3 linked regions of the Pelodiscus sinensis genome follow. The protein of the gene in region 2 interacts with the protein of the main gene of each other region in a pairwise test. Links are inferred from orthologs where the notes say so. Each region holds a gene or a part of one and is shown on either strand. Other genes may lie near its edges. The genes, in order: SH3GL1, EEIG1 and SKAP1.

Evidence for each region.
Region 1: the proteins of EEIG1 (region 2) and SH3GL1 interact in binary tests that used the Homo sapiens proteins (3 or more experiments, as listed by UniProt). The two-hybrid records come from large-scale screens. The link is inferred for Pelodiscus sinensis from reciprocal best matches to the Homo sapiens genes EEIG1 and SH3GL1.
Region 3: the proteins of EEIG1 (region 2) and SKAP1 interact in binary tests that used the Homo sapiens proteins (3 or more experiments, as listed by UniProt). The two-hybrid records come from large-scale screens. The link is inferred for Pelodiscus sinensis from reciprocal best matches to the Homo sapiens genes EEIG1 and SKAP1.

The regions. Positions count from the first base shown.
Region 1 is NC_134729.1:22,494,092-22,502,085, forward strand, and holds the start of SH3GL1 (endophilin-A2), read right to left. Parts: upstream 3,479-7,994; 5' UTR 3,279-3,478; exon of another isoform or gene 3,248-3,278; intron 3,221-3,247; 5' UTR 2,968-3,220; coding exon 2,923-2,967; intron 1-2,922. UniProt on the Homo sapiens protein: Implicated in endocytosis. May recruit other proteins to membranes with high curvature.
Region 2 is NC_134732.1:10,485,198-10,493,333, reverse strand, and holds the start of EEIG1 (early estrogen-induced gene 1 protein), read right to left. Parts: upstream 3,115-8,136; 5' UTR 2,956-3,114; intron 2,109-2,955; 5' UTR 1,585-2,108; coding exon 1,439-1,584; intron 1-1,438. UniProt on the Homo sapiens protein: Key component of TNFSF11/RANKL- and TNF-induced osteoclastogenesis pathways, thereby mediates bone resorption in pathological bone loss conditions.
Region 3 is NC_134739.1:14,029,364-14,036,862, forward strand, and holds the start of SKAP1 (src kinase-associated phosphoprotein 1), read right to left. Parts: upstream 3,354-7,499; 5' UTR 3,197-3,353; coding exon 3,145-3,196; intron 1-3,144. UniProt on the Homo sapiens protein: Positively regulates T-cell receptor signaling by enhancing the MAP kinase pathway. Required for optimal conjugation between T-cells and antigen-presenting cells by promoting the clustering of integrin ITGAL on the surface of T-cells.

The sequences.
Region 1 (7,994 bases), on a different chromosome or scaffold from region 2:
GGTAAAGAAACAAAAAACTGTCCTTTTTAAATGGGGGAGAATACATACTGCTTAGGGGTATTTCAGAGTGCTCTTTGCATAGAAAGTTTTGTTGATATCTGGTACATTCCAGTGACAAGCTTATCACTTCAGAAGCATTAATAACCACAAGGATAAGTCCTCTCTGACAAGGGATTGTTAGCAGAAGCTAGGAGAACAAGGGAGAGACCAGTGTGTGAATTTCATGAGAAGCAGGGAATTAATCCCAAGCTTCCCTTAAATTTATTTAGAGAATTTGACTCCTATCACTGATTTCTGGGTAGGGTCCCTTTCTGATGAAAGCATGAACACACACACTTTGAACTCAGGATCACAGCTTTTACTTGTCCCATCTAGGGAGTTTAATAACTATTTCGGTAATAGGTCATTAAAAATGTGTACACTGGACAGATTTTCCTCCTGTAATGTCAAGGCTTCCATTTGCTCTCTCTCGCTCGCTCTCTCTCAGATTTCATCACATTCACATGCCACAAAATCTCTTCTGCTTCATGATACCAACTACTATCAAGGAAGAGGGAGCTTCCTGAGGTTATCTTGCAGCTTGCTGCTGCTCTTTACTCAACCCCAGGTATAACAAGGGGCTTGCTATTCCTAGCTACAACTGCACCTTCTAGGCCAGAATTTCCCACTTGGTACCTTTCACAGTCTTCCCTCTCCAATGTGTTTTTCCCTCCCATCTTTTCAGATTTGTGACTTTTTTTAAAAATTGTAATTCAGCATGCAGAGAATTACGACACATTTTGTAATTATGCCTTTTAGAGTTTTCTGCTCCAATAACCTTAAGTTGTGCTTGCTGACCAGAAAGCTACTACAGTTCATTCACAATTAACTGTCCATTACAAAACAGTTCAAGACAATTGAAAATTATCACCGGCTACTTGTAATACACCTTTGAAAAGTGCACTTACAGCAAGGAAATATACAGAAGCCCTAGTAGGCCATCACCCTAGAACACACACACCTCTCTGCTTACTGGCCCAAGTGGAAGACTGCTTTTTCTGAGCTAGCATTTCCACTAAGCAATACGTGACACATCTGAGTTTTAGAAGTGTATATATGGTAGGAATTAAGAGGACACTTCATGTAACAAGACCTAACTTCCTCATTATCTTCCTGAATTCAGAACAGATAGTAATGGGGATGGTATAAAAACCTAAAGAGCACAGAGTAACCTAAGAAATAGATACCTTTGCTATCTTATTGCTTTATTTGTGGATTTAATCTGCAATTTAAAGAGGATCTATGTGTGTCATCTTATATATGTCAAGAAAAGAACTAGACACATACTCTGTCTTCTTAGTGTTGTATTTCTTGTCTCTTTTTGCTGATGGGGAGGAACTCAAGGACACCAATACTGTAGAATGTGGCAATGAACAAGTTTCATCCACCATTCCTCCCCCCTTGAAAACAATGAAACACTACAGCATTCCTCTTACAGTTGCGTGGCAAATGCAACTATGTCCTTATTTCCTTCCACACACAGATCTCTGTGATGATTTAATGACAACTGAATTTGCAGCAAGTCACTAATTTGATGGAGCTCATCTTTTTTTAAAACAAAAGCCATTTAATTTCTGAGTCAGACTTCTGGATCCCATGGTGATTTTTCCCCCCCATTTTTTCCCTTCTCTGTACTTCCAGAACAAATGAATTCCTAGCAAAGAGACAAGACAGATGGAAGTTACAAGGAGCAGTGGATATAAGTCAAGTAAGAATTGAAGGGGGAAGAAGAAATTGATACAAGAATAATAAGCAGCCATCTGTTTACCTGCTGCTTCCCTGTGCACATCTTTGTTTACAAAGAGAACACTACAGTGAGCCTGCATCATTTTCACCGAAATGCAAAATAGACCTCATTACTCAAAAAGTAACTCAGTATGCACCAGAAAGGCTAGATCTGTCGTGTGAAAAGTAGAGACATTCAGCACCGGCAGACTTAAGGCATTAGCCTAGATATTTTCCCAGAAAATGATACCCTTTATAGTCAGTTGGCAGTGACACAGCCAATCTGAAGCTTTTAATTTAGAAATATCTCCCTTTGCTGTAACAAACGCCTCCACCACAGCTGCAATTTTGAGCCATCTTTCTTTCCACATCAACCCATTCTCACCAGCCTTAAATATAAATGGAGGTAAAACAATGCCATGTCAAATCATTTGCAGACGGAGTCAACGCGGAAGGAAGGAAGGATCTACTTCAAGCAGGGATCAGCACTTTATGGACACGCATACACGGAGACAACTGCAGAAAAATCTGAATAGAGAGGTCGGGAATTAAAGTTAGGGCAATCATATATCCCAATTTGGCTGGTACAGTTCCGTTTTTTAAGCCCTGTCCTGGATTGTGCGTTAAAAAAAAAAAAGGTGCACTTGTCACATTTACTCTTGCTAACTTGATCAGTGGCCAGGAGCAAACAGGACAAAAAAAAAGTGAGGTGGGGGGAGGAGGAATGTGTGTGTGGGGGGGGGAAGGGGTAGAGGGGATAGCAGAGATGTGGATGGGGAGGGTGGGAGACAAAGTTCCAGCAACAGCCTTGTGGGGTGAGAGTTCAGGTGGGCAACTTGGGAGGTGCTCTGTTTTCCCTTTGGGATAGAGGATCACCCTAATGACAGAGCACTGTTTCCCCGCCATCAGCATGAGTGCAAATGTCCAACGGGGGAGACAGAGGGGCAATGATAAAGGCGGCTGCTGAGGAGCCACTGCGGGCCTGCCAACCCCTGAGCACGGAGCCATGGCAATAGCCGCCCCGCTCTGGGATCAGAAAGAGTCTGAGCGCCGAGATCGCTGAGACTCACGCGTGGCCAACCTTTGCCCCACAAGCCAAGGGCTCCTCAGCTGGGTGCTCGCGCGGAGTGTGTGTGTGTGTGGGGGGGGGGAGCTCACCTGGCTCGCTTTGTAGAACTGCTTCTTCAGCCCCGCCACAGACATGCCGCCTCCTCTCCCAGCCCGGGGGCCGGGCGCGGATCAGCCCTGCACCGACCGACACTCGGGCAGCCCGAGCCCACGGGGGGGGGGGGGGGGAGAGGGAGGGGACCCAGGGACGGACAGAGCAGACCCCGGGGGGGGGGGGGGGGACAGACAGACCTGAGCCCGGGACTGACAGACGGACCCGAGCCTGAGGGGAGCGGACAGACAGACGGACCCGAGCCTGAGGGGAGCGGACAGACAGACGGACCCGAGCCTGAGGGGAGCGGACAGACAGACGGGCCCGAACCCAGGACAGACAGACAGACCCGAGCCTGAGGGGAGCGGACAGACAGACGGACCCGAGCCCGAACCCGAACCCAGGACAGACAGACAGACCCGAGCCCGCCACCGCGGCCCGGCTCCACAGACAGACGGACGGACACGGACCGACTCCCCGCGCGGCGGCGCCGCCTCCCCCGCCCGCTGCTCTCCGGACGTTACATGGCGCCGGAAGCCGGCCCGCCCCTCAGCGAGACGCCCCGCCCCCTTCACCTTGCCCCACCCCCACCGCGCCAGGAATCACTCCGCCCCCTGCCGGCCCGGGGGAGCAAGAGCCGCCCTTGGGCTCAGCCGCCACCATAGGGATGGCCGCGTGACGCTTGGAAAGAGTGTCCCTTCCGGTTGCACCATAGAAAAGTTCAGCCGCGGCCAGAGAGTCACCCTGCAGGTGATGTGCTACTACAAGGCCCCCTGCGGGGAGGAGTACCATAGAGAGACAAAGTGCAGGACTATGTAGCACTTTAAAGACTAACAAGATGGTTTATTAGGTGATGAGCTTTCGTGGGCCAGACCCACTTCCTCAGATCAAATAGAGGAAGAAAATAGTCACAACCATATATACCAAAGGATACAATTTAAAAAAAAGTGAGAGACAGACACACACACACACATAGAGAGACAGACACACACACACACACAGACCCCCCCCCCCAAAAAACCCACAGGACTGGTTGGGTCGGTGGGGTGTTACGCACACTCCTGAGTACACATAGTGATAGAAATGTAGCCGTGTTAGTCTGGTGTAGCTGAAACAAAATACAGGACTATGTAGCACTTTAAAGACTAACAAGATGGTTTATTAGGTGATGAGCTTTCGTGGGCCAGACCCACTTCCTCAGATCAAATAATGGAAGAAAATAGTCACAACCATATATATTTTCTTCCATTATTTGATCTGAGGAAGTGGGTCTGGCCCACAAAAGCTCATCATCTAATAAACTATCTTGTTAGTCTTTAAAGTGCTACATAGTCCTGTATTTTGTTTCTGAGTACACATGTGATGGTGAAATGTATCAGTATCGCTATTATAAAAAACGGCCGTCTTGCAGCACCTTAAAGATTAACAAAACACGTAGCTGGTATCATGAGTGTTCGTGGGGACAACTCATTTCTGCAGATGAATGAGAAAATTAATGGTGATAACACCTTTGGAATCTTGGCAGTAGTGAAAAGTATAGCCATCAGACTTGCCATGGTGAAAACTATCGTAGCGATAAATAGTGGTGATAAGAGAGATCAAAAAGTATAGCTATTAACAATGGAAATTATATTAATGCTGTGGCTTAGTAGTGAATATAATAGTGATAAAGCTTCAGAGGGTAGTCAAGTTAGCCTGTAATTTAGCTCATCATACACCCAACCCCCCTGCCCTGAGCCCCTCATACACCCCAACCCAAACTCCTGCACCCCCACATCCACAAGCCTGTGGCTTGCTCAGCACCCTAACCCTCTACCTGACCCCAACACTCTCCAGCCTGGAGCTCCCTCCCTGAGCCAGCATCCCCTTCTCCTCCTCCTCTTGCATCCAAATTGCCTCCCAGAGCTTGCACCTCTCACGCCTTCCCACAACCAAATCACTCCTTCCCACCCCAGAGCCCGCACCTCCTGTCTCAAGCCAGTGAGAGTGAGTAAGGGCCAGGGACGGCAAATGATGGAGAGGAGGGGAATGGAGAGGGCAGGGCCCCAAGGATGGGGTGGAGTCTTGGGGAAGGGATGGGATAGATCTTGGCTTGCCCTGACATTTAAAAAGTGATCTTGGATGTAAAAAGGTTGGAAACCACTGCTCCGTGGGAAAGAATTAATGGACAAATGGACAAATCAGATATCCAAAAAGTTAACACACAGAAATCTGTTGGGGAACATTTTAACTTGCCTGGGCACTCATTAATGGGTCATAGAATCATAGAATCCTAGGTTGGAAGAGACCTCAGGAGGTCATCAAGTCCAGCCTCCTACCCGAAGCAGGAACAACCCCAACTAAATCATCCAGCCAGGGCTTTGTCAAGTGGAGACTGAAAAACCTCCAGGGATGGAGATTCCACCCCTTCCCTAAGTAACCCATCCCAGTGCTTCACCATCCTCCTAGTCACAGTGAAATAATTTTTCCTAATATCCAACCTAGACCTCCCCCACTTTAGATCCACTTGACTTTGGATCTCAAAGTCACCAAACTGGTTTGGGCCAATTCTGCAAGTCAAATACACAGGGAAGCCTTGGAACTTAACTTCATTCACATAGAATAGTCTAGCAGCCCCTTAAAGTCTAACAGAACATGTAGATGGTATCATGAGCTTTTGTGGGGACAACCCACTTCCTAAGATGAAGTGGGTTGTATGAAGTCAGTGGGGCTGCTCACAATGCATGAGGTTAAGCAATTCCATAAATCTTTTCAGGATGGTAGGGATGGAGGCTACTTGTTTATGGGACTGAGCTCTGAGAATGAAGGGTCTCATGTTCAAAGACTCTGATTTGATACCATCTTTAACAGTGATAGGCAGGCAACCTACACTTGTCAAGCAAAATGCAAGACAATGTAGCACTTTAAAGACTAACAAGATGGTTTATTAGATGATGAGCTTTCGTGGGCCAGACCCACTTCCTCAGATTACACTTGTCAGTGGGTTGTAATCTACCAGGATAGTGTAGTTTTGCTCAGTGTGCTTGCGTACCTACAATTTGTGGGCTGTGCCGATTGAGCCGTAGCAGCACTTTGATTGGATGCAGAGGGAGCACATGGCTCTTACAGTTAGACTATGTCTACACTGCAGGCTTCTTGCGCAAGAGCGTGTTCACACTGCCATGTGCTTTTGCGCAAGAGCATCCATGGTAGGGTTACCAGATGAGCTAAAAAAAATACCAGACACACTTGATCTCAGATGGGGACGGGGGACTGGCCAGGAGGCGGGTGGGGCTGGCCGGAATGGGGGAGGGAGCAGCCGGTGGGAAGCAGGGCTGGCTAGGAGGAGAGTGGGTCGGGGGCAGCGGGGCTGGCCAGGGGAGATTGAGTGGGGGAATTGGCAGGCGGGAAGCAGGGCTGGCCGGGGGATTTGAGGTGTCGTCGGGGTTGTGGGGCTGATCGGGGGAGATCAGGAGGAGGAGAGGAGAATTGGCTGCAGGAAGTAGGGCTGGCAGGGGCAGCGGGGCTGGCTAGGCAAGATTGGGAGAAGTGGGGGAAAACTGGTTGACCAGGAGGGGTTGGGGAGCGAATCAGCCAGTGGAGAATGGGACTGACCCGGGCACATGCAGATCCCAGAGCGCTGCCTGTCCCGCGCATGGTCCCGGCGAAGCACAAGTGAGTCCGGGTGTGGCTCCAAAATGACTGGGACAGCGCTCAGGATTACGTACAGGGCTTCCCCTCCTCCCTAAAGCATCACACACAATCAGAGGCTCCCAGTGCCGATTGCGCCCTGCCTCCCGGCTTAACCTCATGCATTGTGAGCAGCCCCACTGACTTCATACAACCCACTTCATCTTAGGAAGTGGGTTGTCCCCACAAAAGCTCATGATACCATCTACATGTTCTGTTAGACTTTAAGGGGCTGCTAGACTATTCATTGTTTTTTTAAGTTTTTCCACTTACAGACTAACTCCGCTACCCCTCTGAAGCTTTTGACTTCATAGTCAGGACTCGATAAACTGCTGTTTCTACTTGCCCGTGGCGAGCAGATTTTAGCCAGTCGCTCCGTGCACCCCATTCACCAGCTTTGCGCACATGCGCAGTGCCAGTCAGGCGCATGCGCGGTGCGGGGCTGGCGAGTAGCTCTTGCCACAGTTTGTCGAGCCCTGTTCATAGTGATAGCCACAGATGGGACTACAGGCAGTCCCCGACTTACAAACAGGTTACGTTGCGAACACCTGGTTGTAACTCAATTTGATCGTAAGTCGGAAATACCCTTAAACGTGCTGTTCGAAAAACTTGACGTACATGGTTCTCAACTTGAAAATATTATAATGGGGTTAATGGGAGATGGGTTGTAAGTACGGATGGTTGGTTGTAAGTCGGTGTGTTTGTAAGTTGGGGAGTGGCTGTAGTCACATTAGTAAAGTAAAGCACGTGCATAAGTGTTTTCAAGGTTGCAGTTACTTAAAGTGACCAGTTTTACCAACACAATCACATTATTCCATATGATTTCCTGGTGTCCCAGGAAATTTCTTTGGGACACCAGACATGTTCTGGTTTTTCATGTTATAAATCAGAACTAGGGATGTAAAATCCCAGTGAATCAGTTAACTGATTAAGTGGGATACCGCTTTTGCCCCCCAGCCCCATGGGCAGTGCCCTCAGCAGCCTTGTGTGTGCAGGAGGGTGAGGGGGAAGGGTGGCTCCTGTTCTTGGCCCCCCTCCCCCTTTCCCCCGCCCCCCGCTGCTGTGTGAAGCTCCCAGCTGCCACTGCCAGCCCCTCCATGTGTGGGGGGGCCTGCAGAAGGAGCCAGCAGCTGTGCATGCAGAAGAGGGGTTTGGCCTCCCTCCCTGCCCCCCCTCCCTAAGTGGAAGGTCAGCTCCTAACTGCTGCAGAGCTAGAGAGGCCCTCTGCCTGCAGCAAGCCGCTGACAGAGGGGCTGCTCCGGGTTTACCTGTTCACATCCCTCATGAGAACATTAGGTTTGTTCAAGATTTACTCTGCAACATGGGTAGAATCATTTCTATCATCAGCACCAGCCCACAATCTGAAACAAACAAGCAATTCAGTGTCATTAACAGTGTTTGG
Region 2 (8,136 bases):
AGGCACCTGAATACACTGAGGAAACTCCTGAACCATGAACAGCCAAAGAAAACCCCACAGTGCCAACCCACACAAGGCTGGCAGTGGCATCAAATTGGCACTCCTGCGACCTGCTTCTAGGACAACACGAAGAAGCTGGAAATCCAGCGAGACCAAGTCCACCAGGCAGTTTCCAAATGAATGAACTGATCTAGGAAGTAAAAGGGTTAAATTCCTTCCCTGCTCTCACAGTTCAAATTCCTTAGACCAGTTACTTCTACCAAACACATGGAAGAAAATTGCAAGGAAAAGTTATTTTGACAGTCTTTTTCCTAGGAGGAATTCACTTAGGGTCTGCTTTTCCAGAGATACCATAGCTCTCACAACCTTCATCAGGATTAGAGGAGCTCAGCACTTCTTCAAAATCAGGCCTGGGCACTCTGCTGCAGGGTTGCTCAGACACACATACACAGGTTTGCAAAATAGAAAAACCAGTAAAAACCCTCTCTCCTGGAGAAGAGCAACTCCCACCCTTCTCAGCACGTATAGCACTTTTGGAGACTCAGTTTTCCCTGTAACCAAGCAGTTCTAACAGCCCAATATGTTGTTAGTTACTCTAGGGTTTATATAAAATCTGATTTTGGAAACCACTAAAGGCTGCCCTAAACATTCAGAAGCAGCAAGACAGGAAGTGATAATCAAGGTGAATAGTTGGCAACAAAACAGATTTTGATTAGCAAGAGTGGGGACATAGAACCCCCAAGCAGGCAGAGAGACGCTAAGCCAACCCACAATGGGGAAGGGGACTTAATAATGAATTCTACAAGAGTGGTCCAAATGTTACAAATTACACTATTGCTGCAGTGCTTGGGTCCGTAAAAAGTTATGGCAAACAGGTGGATCAACAGCATTTATTCGAGAAGATTAATCCATGGTTTTGAAACTAACAACTTTAGCTACAGGGCTGCTGTTTTCCTTTGCAAGGCGATTTGCAATGCAAAGCAAGCTATTTCAACCCTTACCAAAGACAGTAACGCAGAAGAAGAAAAAAGTTGATTGGTTTAGATGCAATTTTCTACTGAGTTAAAGCAAAAGTACAGTTTGGTTAGTTCTTTCCTACATACTATGTGAGAGCTTCTCTCTTTTGGAGGGGGGAGAGATTTGTGATCAAAGTGTTCATCGAGAGACCCCAATATCTTTCAGAAACATCACCCCCAAATAGCTGAATTGAATTCAGTTCTTATCAAAGGCCACACACATACCTACCCAACAATAACCAGTCTGTGGGCTCTGCCAAGATAGGGAAAGAAGAGAAATGGCATGCAGCAGGATTATTAAAAATCACGTGGAAGGGGCAGGCAAGTGTTAGCAATATACTAAATAATTCAGTCCAACACAGTTAAACAGGGAAAGGAGGAGTATAAGGGTAGTGAGAAGAGAATTATACAGAACCTCTTACCTGGAAGACAAACTAACAAAGTCCCCTCCATCCAGCAGCCTTATTTTGCAGAACAGAACACCATTCACAAAGGGGACAGCAGTCAGCTCCTCCAGGGTGAAACTGGTCTGAAATTTAAACTTCTTTTTCTTCATCAGGAAAGCCATGGGCAGGCTCTGAGAAAAGTCCAGGAACTCAGAACAAGATCAGAGAGGAGCTTCTCAAAATGCACACAGAGAAAAAGAGGCACAGGCAGCCCTTTCAGGAGTGGAAAATCAAGCGTGTAAATTTCTGTTCAATTGCAATGAAGGCCGGCATCAAATGCACAATCCTCTTCTCTCTCTGGTGGTCTGATTTGGCTGTGAAATCATTGCCCTGGAAGGCTTCAGGTGCTGAGGAAGAGGACAGAGTAAACTTCTCAAACATCTCCAGGGAGGAAAAGGAGGGAGAAAAATCCAAGCTCCAGACCCGCAGGAGCTCCCCTGACTGCAGTTCTTGTGTTTAAAGGCTGTGGTGCTCTGTGTCCATCAGGCCCCTTTCGGAAACCATCTCTGATGAGAAGTCATCCTGAACTAGTCTGTCGGAAGAAATCCTAGGTCTACAGATCACACAGTCAAGGTTTCCTGGTTTCAGTCTCCTCCCCTTGTGTGACAACTTTACCGCTCTCTGTGGCTACTGCTTCAACAGGTGGCTAATGTCAAGTAGGGAGGGAAACAAGTAAATAAATTAGTTTCAGTCAGTCCTGGGCACCTCTGCCAAAATCTATTTAGATGGGTAATTTCTGTCCCACCTCACTGTTGTCTAAAGACAAGGAATCCAGAGATTCCTGCTTCAGAGATTCCTCCACCCCCCTCCCTTTTCTGCCTACTGCCATCTTCACTGCCCCTGGATTGCACTCTATTTTTCAATAAGTGTTTAATACTGATCTGTCCTAGAATGATTTTTAGCCATAGATCTCAAAGCAATTTAAGGAAAGCAAGTCTAACAGTTAATCCACTGAAAAATATTGGAGAAATGGGGGGAAGGAGTCAGAGTTCTTTGGGAAGTTTCAACGTTTTGGCCCCCTCCATCCCCCCCTAGAAATTTGCAATTTCCCTTATCTCAGCCCCTCCCCCAACTAGCTCTAAGCGTCCCCCTGGCTCAGGGGGGATATCGGAGGGAGTCTTCACCTAAGCAAAGTTCCTGGGGTCGGACCCGCTGTCTCCCCTGTGCCGATTTAACCCAAGTGGGAGCAGAGGCAGCAGACATGGGGGGGGCTGCAAGCCGCTTGGGGTCTGACGCCAGAGCGGTGCCACGAGGGCTGGGGGGCCCTGTCCCGAGTCTCGCTAAAGGCCTGCGGGGATCCGCTCACACATGCGATGAGCTGAGCCCGGTCTCTGCCCGCCTCCGCCGTGCAACCGGTCTCCTCGCCAGGGGCCCGGATCCAGCCGCAGCCCCGCCCGCCCGGGACTGCCCCAGCCCGGTTCCGCTCGCGCCTCTGCACCGTGAGCGCAGCGCCCCGGGCAGGCGAACGGCGCGACCCCCGGGACCTCGCTCACCTCCTGCCGCTCCCCGCAGAGCGGCCGCCCGCACCGCAGCCCCTGCGAACGCTCCTACGCTACGTGCGCCGGCCGCGCTCACGGCGCAGAGTGGAGCCGTTCCCAGCGGGCCCGCCACGCTTCGAGAATACGACAGCCTAGACAACATTCCCCCCCCCCTCCCACAGGGCCGGGAGGAGAGCGCCGTCCTCTGATTGGGCAGCAGCGCAAGGGGCGGGGAGAAGGACTCGTAGCTCTAGATTCGGATTGGCCGCCACCGAAAGACTGGGGGAGGGGCGAGATATGGGCTTGATGGTTGAGGGAGGTAACTGTCAGTCTAGGTAAAACCCATCCCTCCCCCTTCCTCCTAATTGAGGTGGGAGAAAAGGGGCGGGGAAAAGAGGAGATAGACGGGGGGAGGGGCAGGGAAAGGGGGATAAAAGGAGGATGAACGGGGGGGGGAACCTGATTGACAGGTAGTGGGGGCGGGACAGGACAGGACCGTGCCGGAAATAGAGCAGCGTCACCCTCCAGCAGGCTGCCCCCGCCTCGCCAGCGCGGGATTGCGTCGCGCCCTGTGCCGGGCTGATCGCTTGCCCGGGGGGTGGGGACCTGCGGGGCCCTCGTGCCGCATTTTCTCGCTTTTCTCTGCAGCCCCGAGAGCCAGAAAGTTCCTTTCATTTCTGCAGGGCCGCTGAGCAGTTCAGCCCATCACGTGACTTCAGGCGCTGCTGCCGAACTCCCTGATTTCACCTAAACACCGTGGAGCGGGAGCGGGCAAACGTTCGGCCTGAGGGCCGGTCTGGGCGGGGGCGCTGCTGGGGGCAGGGCTGGTAACAATTCACTGATAAACCCGGGCGTGCTGGTTAATCCCTGCCACTATACCCTGCCCCCGCCCCCCTTCTGTATCAGAGGCAGTGGGGGGGGGGGGGGGCAGGAGCTAGTGCAGTTGGCTCCCCATGAGCACCAGATCCCATGGAGCTGCCTCCCCCCCCCCCCACCCCAACGCTGCTGCCTCTGATAGAGGGAGGGTTGCCAGATGGTTTCAACAAAAATACCAGACACACTTGACACCACAATCTACATTACATTTTATTTAGAAAATACCGGACATTTATATTTTCTCAGTTTCTTTCCTGAACAGAAATCTCAAATACTGGGCTGTTCAGTTCAAAACTGGACACCTGGCAACCCTCAACAGAGAATGAGCAGCACAAAGGGTGAAGCGGGTAGGTGGAGCCGGTTCATGTGGGAAGCGACTTTCAAGCTGGCTCCCCACAGATATCACATTCCGCAGAGCCACCTCCCCCACCCCAACACACAGATTGTGTCTAAACTGGCCAGTTTTTCCAGAAAATCAGCCGCTTTTCCGGAAAAACTTGCCAGCTGTCTACACTGGCCACTTGAATTTCTGCAAAAGCACTGACGATCTCATGTAAGTGTCAGTGTTTTTGCGGAAATACTATGCTGCTCCCGTTCGGGCAAAAGTCTTTTTCTGAAAAACTTTTGGGCAAAACGGCCAGTGTAGACAGCAGAGATTTGTTTTCCACAAAAAAGCCCCGATCGAGAAAATGGTGATTGGGGCTTTTTTGCGGAAAAGTGCGTCTAGATCGGCCACGGACGCTTTTCCGCAAAAAGTGCTTTTGCGGAAAAGTGTCCTGCCAATCTAGACACGCTTTTCCGAAAATGCTTTTAATGGAAAACTTTTCCGTTAAAAGCATTTCTGGAAAATCATGCCAGTCTAGATGTAGCCACACTGTTACCTCTCTGTCAGAGGCAGCAGAGTGGAAGGAGGTAGGCAGGAGTTGATGTGTGTGAGGAGCGGACTTTTAAGTTGGCTCTCCATGCATGCCAGCTCCATAGAGCTGCCTGACCCCCTTCTTGCTGCCTCCGGCAGAGGTAGTGGGGGGGGGGGACGACGACAGGTGAGACCTGCTGCTTTGGGTGACATTGGCTTAAAAGCCAGCTCCCCACCAGCACCAGCTTCATGAAGCCACCTCCCTTCCCCAGCGCTGCTCCCTATGTGGAGTGGCGGAGCATCCCCTGCGACAGGCAGCAGCGCAGATGGCAGGGTGCTCCCTGGGAGTAGGGCCAGAGTGCACTGGCTACCGCCCCCACTCCTGGGGACTATTGAATAATCAATATCTAACATCACTAGCGAGCCATGAGTGCTCACAAAACTGCGGGCTGGAGTGTTGGAAGGGATGAGGGCTCCTGTTAGGGGTGTAGGCTCAGTCAGAGGCACTGAAAGCCTCCATAAGCACCTGGGCAAGGTGTGTGTGGAGAAGCAGGGGGCTGGCTCCACATTTCCGGAAGAGTCAGGGTCTCAGGTAGAAGGGGTGCGCAGGGTAGTCAGCCCTCATCACCGTCCAGAGTGCACCACACTGGCCCCCAGGTAGCTCTCAGTGCCACCTGGAACAAGGCCTTAGCACTGCCTAGAGCTCACAGCACTGCCCAGAGGGAAGCTTGAGGCACAGAATAAAAGGTTTGACAGGCTGGAGATGGCCTGCAAGCTGTAGTTTGCCCACTCCTGCCTGAGAGGATTTGGGTGTGGATCTTTAAAAAAGCCATCAAATAACAGGAGGCTTGTGATAACTTACTGGTGATACCAGTAACACTTGTATTTAGCCCTTCCCTAGAACTTCATATCTAGCCTCAAGCCTTTAATTGACACAGCTCTCTGATCCCATAGATTATTATCAGTCTGGATTCAGGAAGGTCCTTAAGCACATTCCTAGCTTTAAGCATGGAAATAAGCTATATTGCTATTTATTTCTTGTATCATGGTAATGCCCATGTGACCTGGTCATTGCCAAGGGTCCCACTGTGCTAAGATCAGTACAAACACAGAACGACTGCATCTAGACTGGCAAGTTTTTCCGCCAGCTGTCTACACTGGCTGCTTGAATTTCCGCAAGAACACTGACTTCCTACTGTCTGAAATCAGTGCTTCTTGCGGAAATACTATGCTGCTCCCATTTGGGCAAAAGTCCCTTTTGCGCAAAGCTTTTGTGCAAAAGGGCCAGTATAGACAGCTCAGATTTGTTTTGTGCAAAAAAGCCCCAATCGCGAAAATGGCGATCGGGGCTTTTTTGCACAAAAGCGCGTCTAGATTGGCACGGACGCTTTTCCGCAAAAAGTGCTTTTGCAGAAAAGCGTCCGTGCCAATCTAGACGCTCTTTTCCGCAAATGCTTTTAACTGAAAACTTTTCCGTTAAAAGCATTTCTGGAAAATCATGCCAGTCTAGATGTAGCCAACAAAGAGGGGCCCAATCCCAAACTACTTGCAATCATCGTTGGGACTTATGGACTTGATGGTAGGGATTGCTTAAGGGCCTTCTAGAATTAGGGCTGTTACCCATATTGCAGAGAGAGAAACTGGGGCCCACAGAAGGGAAGTGACCTGCCCAGTCTCATATAGCAAGTCTGTCAGAGACAGGATGAAAACCCAGGAGTCCTGGCTCCCATTGCCAATTTCCCACTCCTCCCATTTAACATCTAGAATCACTGCCTTTATTCACTACTGCAGACTATTACAAGAACTATTACATTATTTCTGCCTAGTATGAAACCTTTTTGCAGTGACAGAAAAAGCACATGGAAACTTCACGTCTGATTAGGATACTCTGATATCTTCAAGTCTTATTAGGAGCAACACTTTGCCATGCTGATTCTTGCTCACATGCTCAGGCTTAAAGTGCATGTGACCAAATTCAGGGTGAGGAGGAATATCTACATAGCCTTTCCACCTCCTATTCCTTAATAGAAATACTGTGGTGAAGAGTCAAATCTGCTGGATATTTTAAATCTGCCAGGCTGTGAAGGGTATGGGGGTCCCTGTAGAATTTTGGAAGCATTTCAAGATCACCTCTCCTTCTGCAAACTTTCTCTATGATCCATTTTCAGAGGCATGGTGTACCCACTTCTGTCTCTAGAGAAATGATTAATTGTCCCGTTAGTAGCACACTGGGGATATCTATTGTGATTTGCTTTAATAAATAACTCCTTTAAGGACTTCTCTCCAGGGCTTATAGCAAAAGGACTGGATGTTAAAATGTACAGAGATTTTAAGCCCTGCTGTTCTCACGAATATTTACTCTACAGCCTTGTCAGAAACATCTCTTGAAAACCTCAATGTTTGCTTTATAATTAATTGAATAATGTGCCTGATGTTAAAAATAAATTTACTTGGAAAAATGCCCAGAGAATTGCTGAACAGTGTATAATATAACAACAGTAGTTGGATTCACAGGAATAGAGATATGTCTTTCTAACAAAGGAAGTGTCAGGAAACTGGGATTAAATTCGTGGGACAGAGATTCTTTATTATTCTGAAACTCCATCTAGGTATTTCTGTATTTTTACTGCACATTTGAGTCTTGATGAATTAACATCTTTAAAGGTCTCTTTGATGAGAGAAGATGTAATTGACTAGTTAGCTCTAGGGTCATGAAGATATCATCTATTATATACTTGAGAAAGTTCATCTGTTTATTTGTCTGTTTGTACAAGAACTCTTCCTAAATGGTAAGAAGTAGGACCACCAAATTCTGTGTACAGCTGCCTCTTCTCATAAGTTAAAAGGAAGGTCAGGGTTTGGTTGTGCCAAAAAAAATGGACTGTGCCTGGAATGGCATTGCTTCTCATAAAACCATACAGAAAAGAGACAGAACCATAAAACCATAGAGAAAAGGCATGACCTCCCCATCCAGGATTGCCCCAGCCCCGAGCCTCCCACCTCCCAGGCTATATCTACATTATGGTATCCCGGAAAAAATGTGCTGCCTCCAGGAAATGCTTCTGCTCTTCCGCTTTTTTTGCAAAAGAGCAGATGCTCTCTTTTGGAAACCCTGTCTTCCTCCTCCCACGAGCAAGAAGAGCTCTTCCAAAAGAGGAGGCTTTTCTGAAATTTGGCCCAGTGTAGATGGGCCAAATTTTGGAAAAGCCTTTTCTGAAAATTTGCGTACCTTTTTCCGATAGATCATTGTAGTGTAGACATAGCCCCAGGCACCCTTTAGGGCAGAGGGGCTGAAGCTCCCCTCCCAGATTTATATGGGGACACTGCTGGCTGTTCTCCTTCATCAGGAATCAAGAGGAAAGTGCACAGTTTGCTGCATTTCTCACTCTGGCTGGGAAGCACAGGCAGCAGATGAACTGTGCACTTTGCTCTCACTCCCTTACAGGGATAGGAAGGGGAAGAGC
Region 3 (7,499 bases), on a different chromosome or scaffold from region 2:
GGGGAGGAAGTGTGGGGCTCCGGGGTCCCAGTGTGTGAGGGGTCTGCAGATGGAGGCTCTGCGGGCCACTGTCACTAACAAGCCATTCATTAGCCTGCCTGGGCACTCGTTAATGGATCTCAAAGTCACCGTATTATTGCAAAACCAATTACAAAAGCCAGCTCGATAAGGGAAGCTACAGAACTTCCTTTCATTTACAAGTTTGATTCCCGCAATGGAAGTCTGAACAAAGACACTGGCTGGATGGCCCGCTACATTCCACATCCTAATGACATAAAAAACCAAGCAAAGGGAACTGAAGGATGCTTGGTACCCGCTTTATCAGCTTCATTTAGCACTAATTGACAATGTCTTTCCCCATTTTTCTTCTTCTTTTTCCTCCGCTTCCTCCCTATCCCCTTTCTGTGCCTATTTATTTGAAAACTCGACCCCTTATACTCCATTCATCCGAAGAAGTGGGTTGTGCCCATGCAAACTCATGCTCCCATACACGGTGTTTGTTAGTCTCTAAGGTGCTGCAAGACTATTTGTTGTTTTTTAAGTTTTTCCCGTTACAGGCTAACACGGCTCTCCCTCTGAAACTATTCACTAGCTATGCTTATTGTGTTATCTAGAGCAGTGTTTTCCAACCAGTGGTAAGAGTACCTTCAGGGGTACTTGAGAGAAGTTGGGAGCGCAACTGAAATTTGGAGAAAACTGAATTTTTGTTTTAAGTTTGACAGCGTGTTATTATTTTTGTACTTTTTACACCCCGAAATTTTATCGCCTGCCCGGCTACGATTAAGTTCTTTAAATAAATGTGTTTCAATGGTAGAAAAAAAAATTATGTCTGAAAACTGTAGGTATCAGGGGTACTTTTTTTTTGAAAAAGGGATACTTTATAACAAAAGATTGAGAAACACTGCTCTATAGCACTGAGACATCTCTGAATAGGGTTGCAAGGTGCCCGGTATTGGCCCGGACAGTCTGGTAATTGCATCTTCTGTCCAGTAAAAAAACCAGAAAATACCAGATGTGTAAAATTTTCGGTATTTTCTGTTTGTGTCAGACTTTGGTCCCTGTTTTTTTTTTTTTTTTTTGCTCACCCAATTTGCATCCCACCATGTTTGGTATTTTTTGTGACACTATCTGGCAATCCTGTCCCTGAGCTATGCAGGAGCATAAAGGACCCAGTTTCACTGTCAGGAAGTGGACGACCCTGACAATACATTCTTGGTGTCTTATTCCCCATCTTCGTTTTCAATCAGCTCTCCTGATGCAGCACCGAAGCAGCGTGGCTGGAACCCCTCCTCGCGCCCAGGCCCCCCGCACAGCTTGGTAAGACGAGGCAAGTTTGATACCGAGGTATGTGACACGCAATTAATCTCCATTCACGGCCTGCTCTACTTGTCAGCAAACAAAGGCTCCGCTTTAGAAGGAGATCTGAAGACTTCAATTAAAAACAGTCAGCTAACAAGAAAATAATCTGCGTGCACGGGAGGCGGCAGGTGCAGAAATGAGTTGTTTACAAAAGTGTCAGGGCTGAACAGGAAAATGCTGCACATCAAAAATGCAAAGTGGGGGGTTGAACTTCACTGCAGCCCCATGATTAAAAATAAAGAACAGGAAATGCACATCTGTAGCAGGGGGGACGGGGACCACAAAGCATTTGAAAGTCAGCTTTGATGAGCCAGCTCTCCCCCTCTCTGTCTGTGTAGGTCTCAGTGCTGAAAGCTTCGCACACCCCAAAAGGGGAGAAAGGGAAACACCCCTAGTTACTGCTGGAATGGAGGGGTACAGAGCACCTCCCGTTTTGCTGGAAATGCACTGTCATCAGAGTGGCAGAAGAACCCAGGGACAGTGTCAAATTTACATACAGTAACTTTCCCTGTGTGTGGGTCTGTGACAGCACCACAGGGGAGAGAAACAGCCAAAAGGGATTGTTCAACCATACACAGGGGAACTGAGGAGCGGGTGTAAGATAGGAAACAACTCCTCCACACACGCAAAAAATCCTCCAAGGTCAAGTTAAGTGCTCAGGCATCAGAGTGCTGGGAATAAGAGGTTCTAGGCATAGCTGAGCTGGAAAGCAACATACATGCATCCCTGGTGCTGAGCAAGTCACCCCCAGATGCGGGAAATTTTCCCAGCGCCCAAGAGTACAGTATCAATAAGACAGGATCAATAAAATTTGTAAGGGTCTGCGAGGAACGAGCCGGCTCATGTTCATAGGGTGCTTTGAGATCACCAGACAGAACGGGCCGGTATTGTCACTGCTCAACCTCCTCGCTGCTTTTGAGACGAGGAGTTTGGTGAAGAAATGACGGGAAACGGGTTTAGAAACATCCACGCGCGCCAAGCGGCCGCAGTCATGCGCCGGAGACGGTCAGGGCTGCTCGCTGGATCCCCAGGTAGGCCTGTCAGTGGGGGGTTGAGCACAACCTGCCTTGCCAGCGGCAGAAGGGACAGCTAGTGCCATGTCTAGTCTTCTGGAAGGGGGCCGCGTCCCTTCGAATTGTTACTGACGTGGGAATGGCGGCCAGCAGGCCGAACGTGCTTGGTGCACCCTCGCGCTGCAAAGCAGGAGATGCCGTCACATCGTGACCGGCCAAAGTCGCAGCCTCGCTTGGTCTGCGGGATGCTTTGAAGCCCCCCCACATCAGAACAGCCATACCCCGCCAACGCCCTTCCTTACAAAGCTAGACATCTCCCCCCCCCCCCACTACACAGCAGTAACACCCACCTTCCAGGTGGCATTTTGCGGCCCAGTAGAGCTCAAATGACTTTTCAGAGGTGGTCAGGGTCACGAGCCTCGTGTTAGAAAGGGGAAACTGAGGCACCGGTCAGTGACGTGACTCGCCCAAGGTCACCCGGATGCTCGGTGGCAGGGGTAGGAACGGAACTCGCATCCGGGTGCAAGCCCCTAGGCCCCCTTCCTGGCACAGAATCATTCCAAGGAGTGCCAAAATAACCCCACAAGCACCAAGCCCAGCACCCAGTGCCGGAAGGGGGAGAGGCCTACGCAGCGAAGGGGCCTGGATCCCCCCCAGAAGGAACAGCCCCTGCTCCGGGTTGTGGGGCACGCAGACCTTCTCCTCCTGGAGCCGCTTAAAACGCAGCCTCAGCCCACCCCCCCGGGAGCAGAGACAGGGCGCCGGGGGTTACCTTCAAGGAGCTGCTGGACCGCCTCAGGGATGGGGGCTGTGGGCATCTGCATTGGGAAGCCAGACGGGACGTGCCCCCAGCGAGAGCCTCCAGTGGCGGCGGCTGCTGCTGTCCCTGCGGGCGAGAGGCTGCCTGCTCCAGACAGAGAGGAAGCCAGAAGGGTGGGGCCTGCTCTGCAGAGGGAGAGGCTCCTGCAGGTGTTTCCTGTTTCACCTACCCCAGGATAGCAGCCCTCAGACACCTGCCGGAGGCCCCAGCCCTCCCTGGGCCAGGGCCCTGGAAAAGCAGGTGCCCCCGGGCGATTGGCCCGGCTGCTTCCTGCACCTGCCCCCCTGTGGCCGCCGAACGCTGGGCAGGGAGGGGGCGCTCTGCCCCTTCACCTCCTGCATCTGCAGGGCTCGCCGGGGCAGGGAGTTGAGTTCTGCCCCACCGCCGGGCACCGGCCTCCGTCCCGGCCTCCTGCAGAGGGAGGCAGCTGAATCCTGCCTTGCGGCCAGGGACTTGGCTAGGCCTGGGGCTTGCCCCAAGAGAGAACCAGATTTCACCCACCAAGTGTCCCTTGCAGGCCTGTTGGTGGGGGAGAGGGGCAAAGGGGATAGTTGCCCCGGGCCCCGGAGATTCAAAGGCTCTAGGCAGCTATCAGAGCTGGCTGGGAGGTGGGGGGGACAGCGTGGCACGTGCTGGGAAGCACTGACAGCTGGCTGCCCCAGTCCTGCCCTTTCCACCCCTTCTGGGAGTGAGGAGCCCCCCCCACGCACACACCCCTGGCCCAGGGGCCCTGCAAGTCTGTCGGTCCCCCGATGGGTTGTGAACTCCTCGAGCACCAGAACCCTCTTACCATGGAGTCAGAGACTGTCTTCTTGGGCCGGCCGGGCTATCTTACCCCCCAGGCAAGGTCGCCTTTGTGATCGATGGTCCCTTAGACCAGGAGTGGCCCCCGGGCCACCGCCCCTCCCCCCCGGGAACCCTCAGGCACAAAGCAGTCCCGCGCCGCTTTAAGCAGCTGGCTGCTCCCTGCGGCTCTCTGCTCTGAGTGCCTGGGAGAGGGGAGGCTTCGCCTACTGCCCCCGCCCCAGCACGATCTCTCACAATCCCCCTGCCTGCCCCTGTTTACGGGGTTAACCGGTTAAACAGAACGTGTAACCAGGGAACAGATTAAATGAGATTTTACATCCCTGTCCCATGCCCCTCTCCCAGGCCAGAATCCTCTCCTGCACCTCCATGAGCCTGCACCCCATTTGCCTGCCCCAGATCATAACCCCCTCCTTCACCCAGACCCCCCCTCTGGCCCCACACCCTCTCCAGCAATATGCAGATTATTCCCAGGTAGGGCTGGCAACTTTCTAATTGCAGAAAACTGAGCATCCTTTACCCTGTGCCTGCTCCACCCCCTGCCTCAAGCTTCTGCCTCGTCTCTGAGTCCTGCCCCCACTCACTCCTCCCTCCCCCACCCGTTGCTCGCTCCCCCCTCGTCTCTCACGCTCATTTTCACTGGGCTGGGGCTGGATGTTGAGGTGCGAGACAGTGGGAGGTTCTGGCTTGGGGGGCAGGCTCCAGGATGGGGACAGAAAATGAGGGGTGCAGGATGCAAAAGGGGGCCATGCTGGGAGGGTGGGGCTGAGGGGTTCTGGGAGGGGGCTCCAGCCTGGGGCAGGGGGTTGTGGTGGGGTACAGGCTCTGGGCTGGGAGTGCATGCTCTGGATGCAGCCAGAAAAAAGGGGTTTGGGGTGCAGGAGGGGGCTCTGGGCTGAGGGGTGGGGCCAAGGGATCCAGAATGTGGGAGGGGGCTCCCGCCTGAAACAGGGGGTTGGGCTATAGGAGGGGGTACAGGCTTTGGGCTGGAGATGCTCTGGGGTGGGGTCAGTAAAGAGGGGTTTTGGGCCCAGGCAGGAGCTGGAGCAATGGATTGGGTGCAGGAGGGGATGAGGGGTGCACGCTCCAGCAACACTTACTTCAGGTGGCTCCCAGGAAGCAGCAGGAGTTCCCTGTCCCCAGCTGCAGGGGCCGCCACTGCAGCTCCTATTGGTTGCAGTTCCTGGCCAATGGGAGCTGTGGATCTGGTGTGTGGAATGGGGACAGGGCTCAGGACCCCCGGAGCCAGCCCTGAGCCAGAGGGACTTGCTGGCCTCCTCGCGGGGGCTGCATTGGCAGCCCACTCACCCCACAGCCCCCAGTCAGACAGACATCTAGCCAGCCCCATACTAAGCCAACTCTAGATGTGTTAACTAGGACAAGGAGCTGAGAGTTCAGTGCCGCAGTGACAGCTTGTGAACACTGCCCCCACCCCCGTGAGAGTTGGCTGTAGTGTCACATGACTAGCTTTCTATGGCCTTTAGGGCTGATGACACAGCTGGGAACCCCCAGTGCGACTGACGGGGGGGGGGGGAAGGAGCAAAGGGAGCAGCTGCCCAGGGGCCCGGCAATTTAAAAGAGCTGCAGGTGCGGCAACGGCTGGAGTCCTTGCCCCTTTAAATCACCATCAGAGCCTCAGATGGTGTAGGCCGGGCAATGCTGAAGGTCTGGGTGGGGAAGGCTAACCCTCAGCCACGCCCCTTCTGGGGGTCCAGAGATCCCCCTCGCGCCCCCCACCTTGCCCAGGGGCTGGCAATTCTATTGGTATCCCTGAGAACTCCTTCCTCGTGCTAGGTAGCTTCACCCCCCAGAGTTAAGTGGCATAGGGGTAACAATTGCACCTGGTTGTTTTGGCTCCCTCTTGCAGATCACAGATGCGGCTAAAACCTTTTGTACCCGCGCGGGGCTCTGCTTATTAGCGCTAATTCCTAACCCCGTTCGTCTCGCGCTAGTCGCTGGTTTCACGAGAGCATCACTCAGGCAAGCCAGAGCTGTTTCAGCTCTGCATTGGTCAGCGGCCTGTGAACTTCGGCCCAAGTTCTGCCCGCGGCGCTGTGAGTATTTATTAGTATGTCCCCCCGATAATAGGCGTCTCCATGAGCTCGCCACTGTTACTCAGCTACCTTTTTACTGCTGCCCCGGGACTTTGGCCACGTCTTCTCCTGACACAGGAAATAGCCTTAAAGGTGGCAACGAAGTTAACCGTTTGAGCCGCGTTCATCTGCATTACGCGGGCGCCAGCCTCCCGAAGTGCAACTGGGTGTGCCCCTGCCAGCAATGAATGTAGCCACGTGATCACAGGGTTGGAAAGGCAAAAACCTGGAAGAGAAGAGAAGAGAAGAGAAGAGAAGAGAAGAGAAGAGAAGAGGTGGAGGGCAAATATACAGGGAACGGGGTAAATAGTTTCCAGTTCCCTGACTGAACTGGCCACGTAATCAAGGCAGACAGGCACCTGGGGCCAATTAAGAACTTGCCTGAAGCAGCCAGCTAATCAGGGCACCTGCAGCCTATTAAGGCCTGCTGGGGCTAGGTTAAAAGGCTTCCCCTCAGGCACGGCAGGGGGAGGAGAAAAGCCAGGGGCACAGAGGAAGAGGGGTGGTGCCGGAGAGCTGAGGTCTGCGAGGAGGGACGTGCGCTGTGCAGGAGCAGAAGGGACTCGCTCAGGTACCAGGGAGAAGGTCCCGTGGGGAGCATCAGGGGAAGTGAACAAGGGTGCAGGACTGAAACGCTGCCTGCTGCCACAGCCTTGGGGTCACTGGGCTGGAGCCTGGACTACTGGGTGGGCCTGGGTTCCCCACAACCCTTCCCACACCACTAGAGAGTCTGCCCCAGAGGCGGAGACCAGGACTTCAGAGGGGCTTCACCCCTATGCTTGGACTTGCCTATGAAGAGGATAGCTCGGAAGGCTGCGACCCTCGGCCTCTAGCAAAGGACCAGAGGCTTTGTGGAGGGTCACAGTGCGCCTCTGAGGCAAAGGATAACTCCCGAGAAGTGCCGGACCCGTGGGGCACGGTCAGAGCTTTGCCACAGGGTGTATTGCCTCAGAGGAACAGCAGCCTAGTGGTTAGGGTGATGGCTTCAGAGGGGCAAACTGGCCTGGGGTTGTAACAGAGATTCGCCAAAGTTACTCCATTTTTCAGGTCTCCACCTAGCACCCGGTGCCGGCGGGGGACGGTTGTGAGGATGACTGTACCATAGATGTGAGAGGCTCTGAGGTTCTGGCAATGGGAGGTGCCCGTTAAGCACCCACCGTACGTGAATGGTCACGTGCCCGTGCCGTGACTGGCGGCGATGTGCTGCTTTCTGAGGCCACGTACACAATAAGAGGGAAAGGATGTGGTGTGTGTAAGGGTGGCAGAACTCAGATAAAGGAAGAACCTAAGATGCCTGGCTGGGAGGTTGTTTCCTGCGGGGTTTCGTTCCGCTGCAGGTGCGTGTGTGGATGCATTTTAGTATTTTATCTGCATCAAGGGGCCTCCACGAAGGGAAACCAAACCAATTTT